2 linked regions of the Notamacropus eugenii genome follow. The protein of the gene in region 1 interacts with the protein of each later gene in a biochemical or structural test. Links are inferred from orthologs where the notes say so. Each region holds a gene or a part of one and is shown in the gene's direction. Other genes may lie near its edges.

Region 1 (9,941 bases):
AGTATAGCACCTGGACTCTTCATCTGTTATAATACTAATAATAACAACTGATATCTACATAGACTTTTACAATTTGCAAAGTGTGGTACATACAGTATATCTCTTTTTATAATTCCTTCCTATAATATCCTCCTTTTATAATTCAGTAATGAAGAATTGATAATGTACTATGAGCCTAGCTTTCATCATAAAATAAATGCATGTGAATCATTTCTTGGATAACATCCTTAAATACATTTCTCAATGGTTCATCAGAGTTAAGAGTTATTGGATTGGTCACTGCATGTGCCGCGCAGGGTGATGTTTGAACATCCAAACTGAAGTCATGGTCAAATTCAGGCTTATCACTGGCAGATATCTTCTATTTAGATACAATGGTCTAAATAAAGACAGTGTGAAATTCACTAAGAAGTAGTGTTCCAAAAGGTCATTTATACTTTTCCCCATGGAAATAATATGGTAAGTGCTAGTTGATTTTCAGGCCAATCCACAAAAGTCTATTCAACCCAATCCATCATCTGTCCAGCTGAAGTCCAGGACCACAGCAACATTTTCAACAAGGTTATAAAAAAGAGAATTCCAACATGGAGTGTCAATGTCGCATCTAAAGCACAGTCCTTTCAGGTGGATCATTCACAAAAATTACCCAAGTTTGAAGATACTCTCTGTGTCAACATTCAGTCAAAACCATAGTTCATAAGTTTTATATCTGGCCAGTCTCAACTCCTTTCCATCTAGCCATCCCATCAGACTGAGTTGGGTTGCCTTTCCAACTGCCCTACCAACCTCTCCTCTTCATCAGTATCCATTGAGATCTCCAGAAATCCCTTCTGATACTTCAAGGGAGGGAGTTAATCCACTCACCCACCTTGGGGAAAGGCTACACTTGTGATTTATAAAGTGAGTAAATGAAACCTATCAGAGCCATCCATATTTGGCCTGCCCCAGCGTGAATATCATGCCATTCAACTATCCCATCGGGAATCAGTGTCTAGCCAGTTTGATCATCTTGCCAACTACCCTGATACATTTGTATACCCCTTCTCTCCCCTCTTCTAGCTTTTTGTCAGGGAATCATCTAGTCAACATTACTCTTGCTACTAGGAAAGTCATGACAATCTAATGCCCTATTACTCTATGCTCCACCCAGAATTCCTATGATTCTGAATCACAGAACAAGTAGACCAGATCTCCCTTCCCTGGCCACCATTTCTCACTCATCCATATCATCTCTGTGTTTTCTGGATCCCTATCCAACTCTACCCTTCCACTGTATCTGTCTTTGCACAAGCACACCTGGAATATTCCCATACCTGGAATATTCTCCTTCTTTGTCTCTGCCTTTTGGAATCAGCAACTTCCTTCGAGCCTTAATCAAATGTGCAAGTCATGTCATCATTTCTCTGATGGCATGCTCTTCTTCAGCACGAAGGACGAATGCGATCCTGTGAGTAGATGCAGTTGACTGAATACTAGCTGGGTACCTCACCCCCTCCTCTCCTGTCTGCCTCTCCCTCCCCTTCCTTCTCCTCTCCAAAGGAAGGTAAATTTGGATGGTCAAAAGTTGCCCAGTTAACCTGGGTTTTACTGCCTCTTTCCTTTCTCCTCTCCTCTCCCCTCCCGTCTCCTTTCCCCTGTCCTGTCCCCTGTCCTCTCCCAATACCTTAAACCTACTACACTCTGGAACTGCGACTCCAAGGGGCCCCTGTCAAGGGCTCTTGGACACCTCCCCCCCCAGCTTTAGAGTGATTATCAATAGTAACTATTGCTGTTTCCCACCCAGCCTGATGTCTTTGTTTTTCTTGACCCCTTTAAAGGGGCCATGCCCTGGCTGCTTCTTAAACAGTCCTATTCAATGAATGGGTGTTGCCTCACCCTATATGAGTACCTGCAAACACCTTGGCCTAAAGGGCCACTCCCACTGCATCCTGGGTCATCTCCAGTCATCCTGATAAATATCAGGTCACTGGATTCAGATGGCTCTAGAGGAGAAGTGAAGCTGGTGACCTGCACAGCCCTCCCTCACTCAAAACAAAGTCAAGTGCAAGTCACATCATCATTTTTCTGATGGCATGGTCTTCTTCGGCAACAAAGTACGAACATGATGATCTTCTGTTTGACTAGTAGAAGGGAACATCACTAAATAGTCATGAATCAGTCCGTAAGCATTTATTAAGCACCTGTTATGTGCCCAACTCTGTGCTAGACACTTGGGAGTACTGACGTAAACCAAGTTTCTTCCCACTAGGAGTTTACATTCTATTGGAAGAAAATAACATGTGTACATGATAAATAAATGTAACATGTAGGAAATAATTTCTGGGGAGAGGCCATGAATCTCCTAAGTTTCATAAGGGAAAATTTAACAGTAGAACATGAGTTTCAGAGGGAAAAATGGGAGGTAAGGAAGAGTAGGAAAGAGACACTGGAGAGAGGGAATGCGATCTGGATGGTTAGGGCAGAGCATTCCAGCAGCAGGCTGTCTTGTCCTTCATGTGGGCAAAGGTAATACTGATTAATTATCAGTCCTTGAGAAAGAAAAGGAAAAGGGAAAAGTGGGGGAAGGATGCGTAAACATCAGGGGAAACGGTCAAAGTACGAATTGGTGAAATCCTGGGGCCAGAAGGCTTATAGAGGGGAGACAGTGGGAAAAGCCTAGAATTCAGAGTCAGAAGAGCCAGGTTCAGATTCTAGCCCTGCCACTTAGGACTCATGTGGCCTTGGATCAGTCATTTAAGTTCTCAGGCTTCAGTTTCCTCCCCCGCAAAATAAAGGGAGTTGGACTAGACCGTGGCCTCCAAGTCTTCTTCCCTCTCCAAATCTATCATCGTGCGACTCCAAGATTCCATATGCGAGCTACTGCCCCACATCCAAGTGAGGTCAGCTCAGGACTTACTCCAGCATTGGATACATTGTATCCTTTGTTTCTGGAAGGCGTCCAGCTCCTCGTTTGAGCTACTTCTCTCACGCACTTGGAGCCTAGCTCCCCTCAACCTGCTGACCCTTAAGGGAAGGGGGGCATCACGTTGGGATCCAGGGCAGACCCAGGACAAGTCCGACCTCCCAGAGCGCAGAGCAGGTGACGTCACCGCGCTGCCTGGCCCTGGACCTGCCCCGTTCTGGGCCTGACTCTCCCGGCTGGACAGTCAGGAAGACTGGACAACTGACTGAATGTTTGGGTGCGGGAGGGAGAAGTCCATCTAGGGGGTGCCAAGGCGAGGGCTGAGAAAAAGCTTCCTAACCCGGAACCCCCTTTCCTCTGGACCCTGTAGGGGCTTCTGGGAGAGTGTCCCCACAGCTGGCCGGCCAGGCTCCGAACCTGCAGCCTCGCAGGAAGGCTCGGCCCCGGCTCCGCCAGGCTCACACATCAGTCACGCGGTCCAGGCCAGGTCAGCCGCGGGCGAGCCGCCGTCCAGTCCGCCGGTTCCACTTTTCAGAATATTTGAACAATTAATTTTGTTTAAAAGGAAGGCAATCAGCCCAGTGCGGAGCGCTGTGCCCATGCCGGTGACTTACGCCCGCCAGGAAAGGCGAGACTTCTGAGCTGAACCGGGCCCGGCTTCCCTCCCTGAGCCGAGCACGCGGCCGGAGGACTGGCTTCGTGCGGGTTATTTTTTCTTCCATAATGAGCGGGGTGGAAGGGTCTTTCTTACGGGACTAACCAAAAAGAAAAAAAAACTCGGGGCCGCGGGGGAGGGGGACGCGCACTGACGTCATTGGGGCCAGCTCGCCCCCGAAGCGCGCGTGCCCTGGACGGCGCGCACGCGCCTGCGTGGGGGCGGGGGGATGGGGGAGGCGCGCCCTCGGTGGCCCGGCTCTCCTGCGGTCCTCCGGCCTCCCCCTACCGGATCCTCTCCCAGCCCTGGGCGGGGACTAGGGCCCAAGGGCGAGCCCCGCCCCTCAGGATGACGTTTCGCGCCGCGCCGCGCCGCGGTGCAGTTTGGGAAAAAGGGGACGGGCCGGGCTCGCTTCCGCCTGGACGGCGATGGCTGATTCCGCGGGTTCCCGGGAGAAGGGCCTTTGGCGAACGAAGAGGCGCTGGTGAAGCGTGGCCTCCCTCCCCACCCCACGGTAAGCGCGGGGCGAGGCCCGGCCGGGCTGCCATGACGGACGTCCACCGGGCCCGGACCCCCACCCCCGGCGCGGACCGGGAGGCAGGAGGGCGGGGCGGGGGCGCCTCGGAGCCGGGACCGGCTGGGGGGAGGTCCGGCGGCGTCCCGGGGCCTTTCCCGCGGCCAGGGCCTCGGGTGCGCGGGGCGGAGACGGCCCGCCTCCTTGGGCCTGGCCCCTCCAGGCTCCGCTCTCAGGTGTGCGGTGGGGGGGGGCCCTCTGGCCCCGGAGTCAGTTAAGGTCGCCCCTCTCGTGGGTCGCCCCCAGCCCCTGCGATGTAGGAGGGAAGCTGCGGAGCCGGAGTCCGGACGGGAGCTCATTCTCTGACCTTGAACACAAGGCGTCCGTCTGCCTCCGCCGGGCCGAAAGCCGCTACCTGAGCCCAGGTCTGCGGGCCCCTCAGCTTGGCGAGGGCAGCCTTTTAAGGGTGCCCAGGACGGCGGCTGAGTCAGTCTAAGGTACCTTGTTTCACGTAGGTCCTCGGGGATGGGTGAAATTGGGAATATTTTGTTCAGAAGTAGGTGATGTCAGGTCTCGGTAACAATCTCTGGAAATGCGCTTGAATTAACGTTGCCAAATTTAATAAGGTCTCCTTACTATGGAAAGAAAAAGCTTTAAGATAATTTTATATTGCTAGTTTTGTAAGGGATAACAAGACTATAGAATGGGATCATATTGTAAGGATGTTATCTTGAACATCATTACCCAAATGATAAGTATGGACTTGACATTGGAAGATAAAGCTCAGCTGTCACTTCAGAGAAGCTTTATATTTACCACATTTTTTCCCACAAAATTGTGCAAGCTTTGTGCTACGTTATAATTTTCTTAATGTGAGAAATACCAGAAGTTGTGTAGAAGCAAACAAACCATGCATTGAAATGTGAAAAGGCATTACTATTAAAATTATGAACTAAGGGAACACATTTCAATGTCTGGATTTGGCTGAAGAGCATTTTATGGGATTCATCTTTTTTTGTGTGTTTAGATGCAGAGCAAAATGTAGTTAAAATTTCTTAACCATAATTTTAGTTGGATGTTAGTGAATGATAATATAAGTTATTCCATGCTACCCTAACAACATTAATGAAAATTGGGTGATGTAAGGAGATAGAACTGTTTCTTAGCTTTAAATTCCTTAAGTTTCTTAACTTTTATTTCCTTAACACAAAGGAGACCCAATAGAGATTTAGTTTTATCCTTTTCCAGAGATCTTATCATTTATGTTAGCTGTAGTGTGTCTCATTTCAATTTTCAATTTTGAGATAATCTAGTCACATCAGAAGTTAAGTAGTGTTACTGAATAAATAGTTTTATGTCTAAGATTATTGCCATAAAAAAGAACATTCTGATGATGGTGGCTTATGTAGTCTACTTTCTAACTGGACATTTTGTGTACAGGATGCATACACAATACTTTTTCTAATTTCCATCCACTGGGTAACTATTGTCAACTCTCAATTTAACCTCGGGCATTATAGACAGCATATTCTACAGCTAATTTGCAAATTACTATTTATCACTTGAAAAAGCTAAGCTTTCTAATAGCTTTAGTGAAAGGAATGGGTCATAATATACATAATGAGGATCAGTTTCAAAGCAGGTTAAAACTTTAAGTTTAATGACAAATGAATCCTTTTCAAAAAGTTGTATAAACCGAATCTTAGTGTATTCTTTTAAATCTTTTTTATTTGGTGGACTTTAGAAAGAATGTGTTTCCTCACTGCAATAAAATTTTTGGTAGAAAAGGAATTATGACTCACTTAATACATTTGATAAGTTTAAAACAGCCCTGAAGTAGTGGATAGAAAGCTAGACTGAGTCAGAAAAAAAACCTGGGTTCAAGCCCTGCTTCTGTTTGTGTCTTTGAGCAAATTACTTAATCTCTCCATGCCCCAGGTAGCTCTGTAAATAATATGTTTAGCAGGTGCTGATCTGCATCAGTGATGAGAGTTTGCTCACGTGGAATCATAAAAAGGAATGAAATCACAGATTCCCCTCCTCCCATTATGCTTAAGTATCTTATTTGCAAGTTAGTCAAATTATCAACTCTTAACTATTATAACTATTATTAACTCTTTGCCACCTTCATGTTCCTTTGCTTCTTCCTGTATGTGTTCCTTTAGCACCTTTAAAGTACTTCAAAAAATTGAGTCACATTGCTTACTTAGTCATTGTTGAAAGCTGTCTCCTGAGTAAATGAACAACTGCCCAGCACTTTTGAACAGAGGTCATGTGAACAGACCCCTGTACTTGAAACCAACAGTTCTTTTTTTATTTCTAGTCATAGTTCCGCATTATAGACATGAGGTGCTGACCAGTTTATGCTTTCATGACACAGACACCAAGACTGAACATTTTACACTTTTTGTATGTTAAGGCCATTACATAATTTTTTAAAAGTCCACCAAACTATGAAGATTGTTTAAAAAAAAAAAGTGGGGCTACACCAGGTGGTTTTATCCACCCATTCTCTTTTTAATCTAGCTTAGGTCCTTTCCATGGTAGTGACATCAAAGTTGATGATGGCCTCCTTAGGGAATATAGTAACCTTTTCTCAGCTCTCCTACTCTTTGACTTCACTGTAGTATTTGACTACCCCCCTCCTTGCAATTCTTTCTTCTCTTAGCTTCTGTAACACTATACTTCTTCCTGCTTTTCTGATTATTCTGAGGCCTGTACTTACTGCTCCTTTTTTTTCCCCCTTCCTCATAATTGGAGTTAGCTCCCAAGATCTGTCCCATTTCTCTCCCCTCTCTCTCTCTTCCTCTTCCCCCCTCTCTCTCTCCCGCTCCCTTTTTCCTCCTATTTTGAGGGTGGGGGGAGCAGCTTGAAAAGCACCCTCAAGTCAACTTTGTAATTCATTAAGACAAATTTAGGAGGGAGAATTAGTTACTGTAATGTCTTAGAGAGGGTTGTTACTAACAGGATCCCCTACAGTGATGTGGTAGCTTCCTATTTTAATTATTCTTGTTAACTAGGTGCAAAACTCTCTTGTTTCTAGCTTCTAGTTGTTGCAGAAATGTTAAGTTCTGTGACCTTTAAGTTCATTTGCTTTGGAAAAAAATCTTTGGGAGCCCTTCTTAGTTAAAGGCTTTTTGTTTAGAGACTAATAATCTCAGAGCTTCAGCCCCTATGCAAGTGACCAGCAAATCTGCATCTCCAGTCCATACCTTGCCTGTGTTTCCATCTTCTACAGACCTCTACTTGAATATCTCCCCATTACATCACACTCAGTATGTCCACAAAAAGCTTATTGTATCAGACACTCCGTAGCCTTTCCCACCTCTGTTCCTGCAATGATTCCATCTACCTGGGACATATCCTTTCAAGTCCTGAAATCTGCTCATCCTTCAAAGCCTGTTAGATCATCCATGAACTTTTCTTTCTGTGGCCCCCTTCTTTCTGCTAGGTATTCTCTTTATCTCTGCTGCGGCAGCAGTTCCTTTTGGTCTGGTATTGTAATTATTTGTACATATCCCCACCCAGTCCAACTAGGTTATAAGCTTCTTGGGGGCAGAAACTACCTTTTCCTTATTCCTGCCTGCACCTTGCTCTCCATAGAAATCATATAAATACATACCAGATTGATTAGCATGTGATTCCCCCTTAAGGACAGAGCCAATCAATAATGCATCATTACTTTGCATCATACATCCTATAGTGCCAGTCAGTCTTGTTTTCTCACTGCTTCTCATATGTGTTATTCATTTCCAATGCCTTTGCTCATCATGTTTCTTTTGTTTTTGGAATGCATTCTTTGCATACCTTAAAGACTATTTTCAAGTCTCTCTTCAGTGTCATTAGACATTTGAATAACTGCTAGTATGTATAGCACTGGGAAGTCAAAAGAAATGTGAAACATAGTTCTTGCTACCAAATGGTATACAATTTAGGAAAGACAGTATAAGGAAGGCAAGTAGATGAAGTGAATGGTGTGAGAAATAAGTATTTAAGTAATCCAAATGAGGGGATAAATACCATAAGAGATGCTGCTCTCAGGAAAGTAATAGAGAGAAGGTTGATCTTGAAATTATCCTCAAAGAGGATATTAAACTATTAAAGTTCTCAGAAAAAGAGAAGAGACCTGGGGGCTGGGGGAGGGGGAGGTGGATGGCTGAAATATGTACGGAAAAGGGCTGGGGATGGTAAGGGAATGAAGCTGCCTCTTACTATTCCAGCCCACACTGATGTCTGCTTTGCCTGAATTCTTGTTCCTGCTTTGATTAGGAACTGTGCAGCAAAACACATCATTATTCTCACTGTATGTTAGTTTGGTTTTAAATGGATTTGAAGTTTCCTGAGGACTTTATCATATATCTCTATCTGTCAGAGGAGCTGGCACATAGCCTGTATTCAAGAAGGCTTTCCACTCTGACGTTCTTGAGATCATCATACTTCGTTTATACCTTAATAAGAATAACTATTCATTTAGAAAACTTCAGTGTTTAGGGCAAAGTTTTATCCTTAGGGATTGAATGTACAAATATGAATATAGTATAGTAGTTTATAGTCTAGTGGGGATTATCATTTAACAAGACTTGAAATGAGAAATTTTTATGGGGTTGGGAAGGAAACTTGGGGACTTTGGACAGCTAAAGTGTAGGAAGAATGCACAGGGTATCTGGGAGGGTAGGAAGAAGAGTCAAGAGGGTAAGAAAGAAAATTTTACCTTCTTCCGAAGTTTTGACTAGGACCTGGGCAATAATGTATATCAGAATTAAAGTTTCATAAAGTTAGGCAGCCAGGTGGCACAGCTGATAGAATGCAGGGCCTGGGGAGAGAAAAACCTGAGTTCAAATGCAGCCTCAGCCACTTACCAGCTGTGTGATCCTGGGTGAGTTAATCTCTACTTTAATTTCCTCATCCATAAAAGGGAGAAAATAATAGCACTTACCTCTTAGGGTTGTAGTGTGTACCAAATGAGATAATGATTGTAAAGCACTTAGCACCATACTTGGCACATAGTAAACACTATTTAAATGTTAAAAAAAAAATCCAGTTCAGCTTTTTCAGTTGAGTTCTGCATCTTCCTATCTAATTCTCTACTCTTCTACTAGAAGAAAAGGAAATGAATGGAGATTCTTTACTATGCATTGAGTATTGAGAGGTAGCATGGTATAATGGAAAGGGTATTAGATGTGAATTCAGGAGAAAAGTGTGGGAGTACATGCCTATAATCCCTACTGCTAAAGAATCAGGGCTTGGCAGAATAGTTACAGTGTCCACACTAAGTTCAGCATTAATATGGTGAGCTCCTAGGAGTTCAGGAGCACCATGTTGTCTAAGGAGGAGTGAGCTGGCACAGGGAAGAAGTAAAAACAGGTCAAAGCTCCTATGCCAGTCAGTAGAGGAATCTGGCCCTTGAATGACTGCTATACCTCTAGCCTGGGAGAATTAGGAGGACCCAGTTTGATTTATAAAATCATTTTTTGAAGATGAGAACTGGGTTTGAGTCCTATGTCTGTTGTTTACCAGGTGTTTGACCATTAGAAGGTTGCTTAACCTGTTGCAACTGGTTCCCATAATTATGCATGTAACTATACCCAGCAATTTTCTCCTAAATGAGTGTTAAAAGGATCAAATGAGAGTGTCTATAAAGCCCTTTGGGGTTTTTTTTAGATATTTATTTACTTTTAGTTTTCAACATTCACTTTTATAAGATTTTGAGTTTTAAATTTTCTCACCCTCCTTCCCCTTCCCAAGATGGCTTGCAATCTGATATAGGCTATATGTGTACAATTATATTAAGCATATTTCCACTCGAACCTAAGGGAAAACTGGGAGAAAGAAAAAACAACAAAAAAAGAGAAAATAGCATGCTTTGATTT
Region 2 (9,941 bases), on another chromosome or scaffold:
GAGTACTTAACATAAAAAATGTTAAGAATCTCTGCTATTAGCCCATTCTACTCATGGTCTTTGGAGGTTGTCCTCCAATTCAATCTTTAGTATGTGTGAAGTAGTTTTGGAAAAATGAAATGTGCCCTGTGCCAACCTAAGGGTACAGTTATTGATATGTATAGTAAGGTACACCAGGCAAGAGTTGAATGTGGAACAGGTAGGCATCTGAGAATGACAAAAGTTATATAAAAATAGCTATGTAATAACAATAGCTATATGTCAATAGCACCTATCTCCTAGTATTGTTGAGAGGATCAGATGAGATATTTGTAGACCACATGGCATGGTGCCTAGCACACAGAGGGTGCTTAATAAATCCTTCCTTCCTTTGAAATTTTTATAGTTCCAGAAAGGTTCTACCTGATGCCTTCTCAAATTGTGGAGGTGATCCTGGGTTCCTAGAGGCCATGCCATGACAGCCCGTATGATTTAGTTATTTTTTCTTTTGTTCATTAAAAAGGCCATTCCCTGACTACTTCTTAAAGAGGCCTATTCACTCAATGGGTGTTACCTCTCTCTAAATGAGCACCTGAAAAGGCAAGCCTAAAAAGGCCAAGGTCTCCCATTATATCCTGGGTCATCTCCAGTCATCCTGATGAATATTTGATCACTGGATCCAGATGGCTCAGGAAGAGAAGTGAGACTGGTGACCTTACATAGCCCTCCTTCACTCAAAGCAAAGTCAAGTGCAAGTTATGTCATCACTTCTCTGATGTCATGATCTTCTTCAAAAACGAAGGACAAACACAGATCTTAGGAGTGTATAGGATTTTAAGGTTTACAAATATTAGAATTTGTGCAGAACTAGGGTGGTTAGTATCAGAGGTAAACCAGTGTATCGATAATACATTTTTGCTTATTGTTAACGTAATTTTGCTTCGTAATGAGAAGATCTTTCCCATCCATTAATAGGCCCATGTGACCTGCTTAAGTCACATGGAAGCCTCAGTCACATGAGTCAAGTCACATGGAACAGGAAGGGGTAAAGTGGAAAGAGTGGGAAAGGAAGAGGCAGAGCTAGAGTAGAGCTAAGAGAAAATTTGGTCAGAGCAGTCAGAGCCAGGAAGGATGGAGGTAAGCAGGCACCTGGCTAGTGTGAGTGAGAGAGCTTGTTCATGATTTGTTTAAAGGAACTAGTTTGTGGGAAACCTAGCAGGGGGGAGGCTTGGGGATGGTATTGTCCTCTGCATTGTTATTGTGTGTAGATTTTTCTTACTATGATGAATTGGACTTTCTGGTGGTCTAAATAAATGTTTTGGTTCTGTCTTCCATGCGGAGATTCTGTTGTATTTTGTGATTCAGAATTGTGCTGGATATTCATGGCCACTGTAGGTGCTGTGAATATCCCATTGGTGCTATAATCAGAAAAAATTTCACTTTAGCTAGCTCCCCATCTTCCAAATGTATGCTGCACCATTTTTTCCCGTTTCCTCCTTAGTGGTCATGATTTTTCCTTAGTCTGCTCTATCTCTCATTCAAGAGTGGGCAAGGTCCTTTGAATTCAATGGGAGAGCCTACTGGCTTCTGAGGAAAACATACTTCACTTCCCTGAGTTTCTTCTTACCAATCTGACTGCTTCCTCTTAGTTTCCTTTGCTGGATCTTTATCCAGATCATGGCCACTAACTGCGGATATTACCCAGGTCTCTGTCCTGGGTCATTTCCTTCCTTTATACTATTTCTCTTGCAAATCTAATCAGCTTCCATGGATTCAAATATTATCTCTACATAGATGATTCTCTCTCTTTCTTCAGACCTAACCTTTCTAACCTCTGTTCTTACATTTCTTGATTGGCCATTGAACATCTTGAACTGGAGGTCCCACAGCCATCTTAGAGTCGACATGTCCCAAAGGAACCCATTCTCTTCTTTTCCCAAACCTTCCCACATTTTTCTCTTTACTGTCAAGGGTACCACCATTCTCACTACAAGGTGAGAAGGTGTCATTTTCAACTCCTCATTCTCCATCCAGACTGTCACCAACCCCTGCTGATTCTAGCTTCTTCTACATGCCCTCTTCCCTTTTCCCTCACTTCACTGCCACAGCTAGATTATGGCAATAACCTTCTGGGTGGTCTCCCTGCCTAAGTCTAGGGATCTTCCTCAAGCGCAGGTCTCAGCAGACCCCTAACAACCCCGAGGTTCACTATGACCTCCTGGATCAAACGTAAAATGCTGCTGCTCCTGACACAGTTCTCCATCTCCCACATGTCCCTGGTGGTTCCTCGGGCCCCTCCCTCCTCCTTTCTGTCCTTTTTCCTTCAAGTCTCAGCTAAAATCCCACCTTTTATAAGAAGTCTTCCCCGGTGTTCCTTAATACCAACGTCTTCTTTCAGTGATTCCGATTGATCCTGCATCTAGCTTGTTTGTACGTAACTGTGCATGTGGTCTCCCCCAGTATTCCGTGTCTCCCCCAAAAGCTCCTTTGCTTTTCTCTGCATGCCCAGTGCCCGCGTGGCTTCATAAGAAAGCTTTAATCATGAATTCATTGGTCAGCGGCCTCCGACGGTCCCATCCCGGCCGCTGAAAGCGGAGGCAGCTCCAGGGCTTGGGGCCCCATCACCTTCGCTGCCCCTCGAGGTCACCTTCCCAGTGTCTAGACTCGCCCTGCAACATGCCTGCTGGAGCGCCTTTCTCTTTACGGACTGCCACCGAAATCCCCTGCTCGGCGTTTGTTCCTTCTTCTCCCTTTAAATACCAGAACAATCAGCACTCCCCCTCAAAACCTGCCGCAGCCGGCGGAACCTCCCCGCTCAGGGCGTGCGGAGCGCCCAGACAAACAGTCCTGGACTACATTTCCCACAAGCCTTCTCGGCAAGTCCTGGAAGATACACCTCTAGCCTGGAGAAGTTCGATCCCAAACCAGCCGGGTACACCTACCTATCGCTTTTCTCTCGACCCTGCAAATTAAGTGGTATTCCATTATTTCACGGGGGAAGAACCGGAGACTTCAAAATATTAACATATCACACAGTGAGTCAAATGTTAACACCATGATTTGAACCTAGGTCTCATTAGTCCACAGCTCTTCCCACTACATCCATCACGCCGGGAAAACCACGACTGGAGATCACCCCCATTTCCAGAGAACCCAGGGCCTACGGAGGAGGCTGAGTAATAATGAAATGCTGGGCTGTGTTGTTTTATGCGCTTAAGGACTGCTGCTTCCCTGGAAGGTTGCCGGGAAGGCGCAGGACCCTTGTGGAAAAGCCTGGGCACGGGCGCCCCCTGCTGCCACCCATCGGCCTTTGTGCCGGACTCTAGCCAACCTGACGCTCAGCTTCCAGGCTCCTGTCACAACTTCCGGTCCTCGAAGGTCCCTATTCCGGAAGGGGTCCTCGAGATCGGAAGGTGGTTGGAGCTAACGCCTGAAGGCCGCGTGACACTGGAGTTCAGGTAGTTGCCCTCCTTTGGGCCTGCTTAGGGAAAAGGAAGCGGAGAAGAACGCTGACAGCCTCTCTGAGTATAGCCAAGGGAAGGCATAGCTCAGGAGGCTCGGGAGGAGGTCTCGGCCCCTTGGACTCAGGCACGAGCAGGGGCAGCTGCATTTGCGGAAGTGCTGAGGCTGGGCCGGAGGACCGTCCAGGAAGCGGCGGCCGCTGGGTCGAGGAGAGGGGTTAGGAATTGTCGCCGCCGCCACTGCCGCCCTTATCGCGCCTCACCTGGAGCGGACCGGGTTGCGGCAAGATGCCTTTGTTTACGCCTAATCCTTTTGAGCAGGATGTTGGTGAGTTGCCGGGCCAGGCCGTGGGCCACAAGGGCTGTTCCCCCGGAGACGCGGCCGGGGTGAGCAGGGGCGGCGGCGGCGTCTCTTTGGGCCGCTTCTTGGCTGCCCTTCCTCTCCCTGGGGGTGGGGCACTATCCTAGACAACCCCTGGGGGGCCAGCCTGGCCCCCTCGGGCGTGGAGTGGAAGCTCCTCTGCTGCCTTTCCCTGTGCCCTGACCCGGGTCCACAGCAGCGAGAACCACGTTGTCTCTAGAATATCGTGGAGAGGCGACGAAGGAGCAGACCCCTGACCGTCCCAGGGTAGGGGGTCCGTCGGGTCTGGAGACCTTCAGTCTTCTCCGGAGTGTGGGTTTTAATAGAATGCATCTGGGGGGTGGGGGGGGGAACTGGAGCTAGACTGTTCTTACATATTCGTGGAACAGCCAAAAAAAACATGAAGTATTTATCTGGACCTTGAGGAATTCCTGACACGAGACACTTGCTCTCCCAGTCCCCCGATGACTGGGATGCTCTCTCCTCATCTCTGCCCCGGCTTCCTTCAAACCTCTCCTGTAACATCTCGCATTCAGGATCTCCTCAGTGTACGTGTCTTTGGTATCCGAAATTCATCCTCTGTACTGGATCTCGTTCATACGAAGTTTGCACGTCGTCTCTCGAAGGCAGAGCTTGATTTGTTGTTCTTTACTTTCTTTGTGTCCCTGCCGCTTATCACAGTGGCATGTAGTAGGAGCTTAATAAATGCTGGTTGATTGGATGACTAAAAACTACATAATAGAATATCCCCCAAAGTGACTGAAAGCATGCCTGAGCCGCGTAGAATTTCATAATTATGTATTTGTTTTAGTAATTAAGATTTTCTTCTTTGAAAACCAAATAATTGTTTATAGCTCGTCAGAGTCGTGAACGTTTACGCTGCTTGTGAGTTTATTTTGCGGCTCTTTCAAGTTATCTGTTCTCAGCCATTGCAACAATCCTGTGACATAGGTAGGATGTTGCAAATGAGTAAGAGGGGTGTAGAGGTTCAGTGACTCATCCGGTGTCATCCAGCTGGTTTGTGGTTGCAACAGATTTCCTGACCTCAATCAGCCCCTCTTATTAATTAGTTATTAATTAATAATTAAGCCCGCCTTACGGGTGTAATGAAAGGAAAGCCAGATTTAGTCAGAGGACCCCAAATATGGAGTCTGGGGCTTACTACTTTGTGACTTTGGGCAAGTCACTCTTTCTTTCTAGTTCTCTGGGAAAGTTCCTTATTCTTTCTGAGCTTTACTTTCTTCATCTGTAAAGCCGGAGGTGGCCTCTTCCAGTTCTGATCTCTGATCCTACGTGCAAAGCACTGTGACAGCACTTGTGACAGCAGAAATGGAAAAGCAGCACATCCCCTGCCCTCAAGGAACTTTCAAGGGAAATAGGTACACAAAGTGAATCAGAATAGAATGTGGTAAAGCAGGTTGAGATACTAAGAAATCTGAGAAAGATCACTTCATAGAAATGGGGACACCTTTGGTGGACTTTAAAGACTGAGAATAATTTCTCAGGTGGAATTGTGGTAGGAGGAATTTCTGAACAAGGGGAAGAAAATCTACAATATTTGAAAAATGAGAGGAGAGGGCAGGACGAGAGAGATGAGTAATTTGTCTGCCCTTAGGATCTATGAAGTGAAGTAGAATGAGATGGTATCAGAGAATCTAGGTTCTAGTCTCACCTCTGTGCCATCTGTGTGCCCATGGGCATGTCATTAACATCTCTGGGCCTTTTTTTTTCCTTATCAATAAAAGTAAGGAATTGGATTAGAAGGCTTCTGAGTTCAGTAATGTTACAAGACTGGAAAGTTAGAGGAGAATCAGATTTCAAGGAGGGGAAGAGTTGTGAAATATTACACAATCCATAGGCTTTCTTGGTGACTTAGTAGAGAATTGTTTCAGTAGAATGTTGGGGATTGAAGTTTGAGGTAAGAGGTTGTAAAGAAGCTCAGGCAATGAGGGACCTGGGAGATAGTGATTGCTATAGAGCTTAGTTTGAGGAAATGAGATCTAGCAAAAGGTTTCTTGTTAGTTTTTTCAGTCACCAATTTACTAATGCTTTCTGTGTGCCAGACGCTACTAAAAGCTGGGAATACAAAAACAAGAGTCTGTCCTCAAGGAGCTTACAGCCCTTTGGGGGGAGACTGCACACAAAAAAGAACCTGAAAAGCAGGGAGAGAGAGTGGGAAAGTACCCAACTTTGGGGTCATGTTGGAAAAGTCAGAGAAGTCCTTGAGAAATGCAACCTGGTGAGAAATGAGATGATCTGAGCTGAGCTACTTCCTTAAATGGGGGTCAGGAGTTCATGGCCCCACCCTCCAATCAGAGAAGCTGACATGTATCAGGTAGCATACAAGACTCAGGCCCAGGTCAGGGCTGCTAGGTTGTGGCCCTCTAGGTCCTTAAGTGTGGCCCTTTAATAAAAGAATTTGTTCTGTAAAACTTGGACTCAGTCAAAAGGCCACACCCAAGGACCATATGTGGCTTCAAGGCCACAGGTTCCCCACCCCTATCACAAATGCTTTAATTCAAAAAAAGGGGGAAATAATTACTAATATTGCATATTTCTTATCTAAAGCAATTTGAAAATGTTAAAATTATAATGTAAGCTGGTATTATCTAGGAATGGAGATGAGGATATGAAGTTGATTTCCATGGATGGCATCAGTCTAAAAGGAAGGAGGCAGTGTTATCTTCTTAGAGCCCTGTGTGAAATCTTCTGTACCTGGAGAGTAGGATCAGTGTTTAGTAAGATAAATACATGAAGTTCTGTGTGTCCTTACAAGCATAGAAAAAGATTTGTTTTTGTGGTTATCTTGTCCTCTACATTTTTATTAGTACCTAACTGATTTTTATACTCTACTTCATTTTAATTTAAAACAAATAGGCTCAACAAAGCAGTTGAGATTATCTGGCTTTAAGACTTTTTTCTAGTGTCATCGTTTTAAACCACTTCTCTTTAGTTCGGTTGTATACGGTCTCTCATATTTTCAAATCTTCCTTCAGAAAGTCTTCCCAGGTTAAATATATAGTAATTTGGTAAGTTACATACATAGTATACACCTTCATTGCAACATCTGCTTGTTTTTTAAAATAACAGTAAGTACTAAAGATATTCCTATTTTACAAACATAATGTCTTTAAAGTGCTTTGTAAACATGAAAGCACTATAAAATGTCAGCTGTTATTTCCATTATTCTAGACTGCCATGCTTAAGGATTCTGTATGACTGAAGAAAAATAACTTTGTCATACTTAAAATTCCCAGCAGTTCCCTTTTCCCTTGTTTCTTCTCCCTCTCAGTACATCTGTATCTTATTTTCTCTTCCATTTGTTTTCATTGAGTTTTGTTTGTTTTTGCTCTTCAACTTCCATTTCCCTTCCTTTTCTCCATTCACTCCAGCTAGATAAACTTGCTCCTTTTGCTAAGTGTTTGATAATTACTTATATCCTGACCTTAGTCACCAGCTGTCAATATTTTCTCATGTCAGCAAAATTTAGCTCATATTCTATTTGCAATTCAAAAACCTTGTGCCCAAACAACTGGAGGTTTTATAAACCCGATCACAGCATTTCAGAGGGGAGGGAGGTGCCAAATGTAGAATTTATAAGGCATAACCTTTGACCATTGCTCATATTTTTTGTGGACTAATATGTTGATATTCTGGATGGTTCTTGTTTAATTTGAGTGCTTGAAACAGTGTTATTCCAAAATGGTTAATAACAGTTGTGTGCTGAAAATGATTATTTCATGTCTCCCCCTTATCAGAGAAATTAAACATACACAATCTTCCCCCAAACACCCTAAAAAACATACTGATACCCCCAAATTCTTTAATGACTCCCTTAAGATATTTAGTTTATCTTATCTATTTAGAATTTAATAGAGTACAGACAATACTTATATTATTCCAGTTTTGCTATATGTTATATGTAAAAAATACATAAATTTTTTAAAAATATGAGATAGCTTTTCTTTAACAGAGTTTAAATTCAGAGAGTATGCTCTTCTAGCATAGTCAGATTTGGGGGTGGCAAGAGTAGAACAAAGTAGTATAAATAGAAGATCGTAGCATTCTCATTGGGCTAGATGGAGGACGCTTCAGGACTCCTTTCCTACAATAGCGGAACAAGGCCATAAGCATTCTAGGTAGTAAAATAAATAGATTCTGTTAAAGGAGTGCTAGCCATTATGCTTTGTATTATATAATTCAACAGACTGCATTATTCAATGACTGTTAATCCTAACTTTCTTTTACCTCAATATCAAATGATTACACATGCATAAATTATATCATTCCTCATTCTGAGAGATGTATAGCTTCTCCCAGTTTAGGATCTTTACTTATCTCATTTAGTTTGTTTTATTCCCTCCTTTACTTATAAAATTTTAGTGTTTGTTTATTCACATCACTCGTAGGTAATGCCATTTCAATTTCTCTTTTTTTCCTGCTTCCAAATGTTCACTATTTATTGAATGGCCTGCTGTGTGGAAAAACTCCTGTTATGGCCCTAAGTTTAGCATTAGCAATTCCCTTGATTTTCTACGTTCTTTTGCATCTAGTTTCACTTTGTCCACCTAGAATCTCCAGAATCTTCTTTAGAGTACTTAGCAATATTTTCTAGATGAAAGTAACTTGATGTATTTGTGGAGTACTTTGGGAGGATAATTGGATAGTCTTTTTCCTACAGTATTTTTCTGAAAAAACTTCCATCCATAATTTATTTTTCTTTTGCCATTGCGGTGTGGCCTTTAGCCCATGATACCCAACAACAGAAAGGCCCATTAAAATAGGCCTTACTAAGTTTCAGTTACCCTGAAGCATTCCATTGTAGGGTTTAAATGACCATTAGGATAAGTACCACTTCTATTCCTTATAGACACAGTAAAGCAGAATGTGTTAAAAACTGATGAAAAATTATAAGACATTTTATAAAACATTCCCTCCCACCCCTTACCACTTTATGTACCTTTGTAACATAAAATTGAAAGTTCTTGCTTAGAAAAGTCTGTCAGATAATTAAAAAATCTCTAACATGTTTTTTGGGGAACCATTCTTAATATGAATGTTTGAATTAAACTTTTAAATATTTAAATGTATGTGTTTTTAAATTTTTTTTCTAGAAATTTGGTTAGTTACAACTAAAACTTTCAGTAATTATTGAGTTTGAAACAATTTACTTCTCTCATTTACCACAAGATGAGAAGCACTGAACTAGATAACATCTTTTGTTCTTAACTGTGTTTTAATTGTTTCTAGCTGGCTTGGAGAAGGAGTCAGTCTTTTGCGATATTTTGCTTTCTTACAAGTATTATAAAATTCCAATTTATTTTGTGTGGTAGTGGCCTTATTAGGAGAGTTTAAATTATATTGAATAAAATTGTCTTTAAAATAGATATTTAACCTGAGAAGGTTGGTAGTTATTGACAAAAGGGAAGCCTTCATTATCCCTAGAAAATGTTGCCCCTTGGAAATGGTCATCCACTGTTGCTGGGCAACACAAGTCTTTTCTTGTTCAGCAGGTAAAGCCTACTTGCTCTTTGCTCATATTGCATTTGAGTGACTTCATGGCAGAGGCTGTGTGTGTGTGCACATATCCAGAAAGTCTAATCGCTATTGTATTGGTCATTTCATTTTTCTTGCTAATTCCTTGTTCTTATTTGTTTTTATATCATAGTCGTTTCTGGGAGTTTGGAAGAGGGGAGTCTTTCCTACTCTGCCTCTGGATTGGGTGCTCCCTCTTAGCAGAGATAATTATGCAGATATATACTCAAAACAATGCCAACATCTGACAGTGTCTAACATATCCCCCTTTGTGGCAAGCAAGGAGGTATGTTTGCTTATCTGTTTTTGAAACCACCATTGGTTTTTCAGTTATTCAGAGTCTGGCTTCCCTTTAAATACTTTTTCATTTACATTATTCTTTTGGTTCTGCTTATTGCTTATTTCACTCTGTATCCATTCCGAGAAGTCCTTCCATATGTTTCTGAATTTTTCATAGTTGTAATTTATTATCATACAGCAATATTTCCTTGTATTCTAATACTGTGGTTTTTTTCAGCCATTCCACTGTCATTAGGCATCCACTGTATTTCCAGTTATTTGCTACCACAGTGAATGCTGCTGTGAATATTTTGGTATCTCTTAGA

Evidence for each region.
Region 2: the proteins of USP8 (region 1) and STAM2 form a complex in vitro, tested with the Homo sapiens proteins (3 studies listed by BioGRID, with this or other methods). The link is inferred for Notamacropus eugenii from reciprocal best matches to the Homo sapiens genes USP8 and STAM2.

The regions. Positions count from the first base shown.
Region 1 is NC_092878.1:2,604,743-2,614,683, reverse strand, and holds the start of USP8 (ubiquitin carboxyl-terminal hydrolase 8), read left to right. Parts: upstream 1-3,910; 5' UTR 3,911-4,071; intron 4,072-9,941. UniProt on the Homo sapiens protein: Hydrolase that can remove conjugated ubiquitin from proteins and therefore plays an important regulatory role at the level of protein turnover by preventing degradation. Converts both 'Lys-48' an 'Lys-63'-linked ubiquitin chains.
Region 2 is NC_092876.1:209,397,997-209,407,937, reverse strand, and holds the start of STAM2 (signal transducing adapter molecule 2), read left to right. Parts: upstream 1-3,637; 5' UTR 3,638-3,728; coding exon 3,729-3,768; intron 3,769-3,961; exon of another isoform or gene 3,962-4,068; intron 4,069-4,162; exon of another isoform or gene 4,163-4,349; intron 4,350-9,941.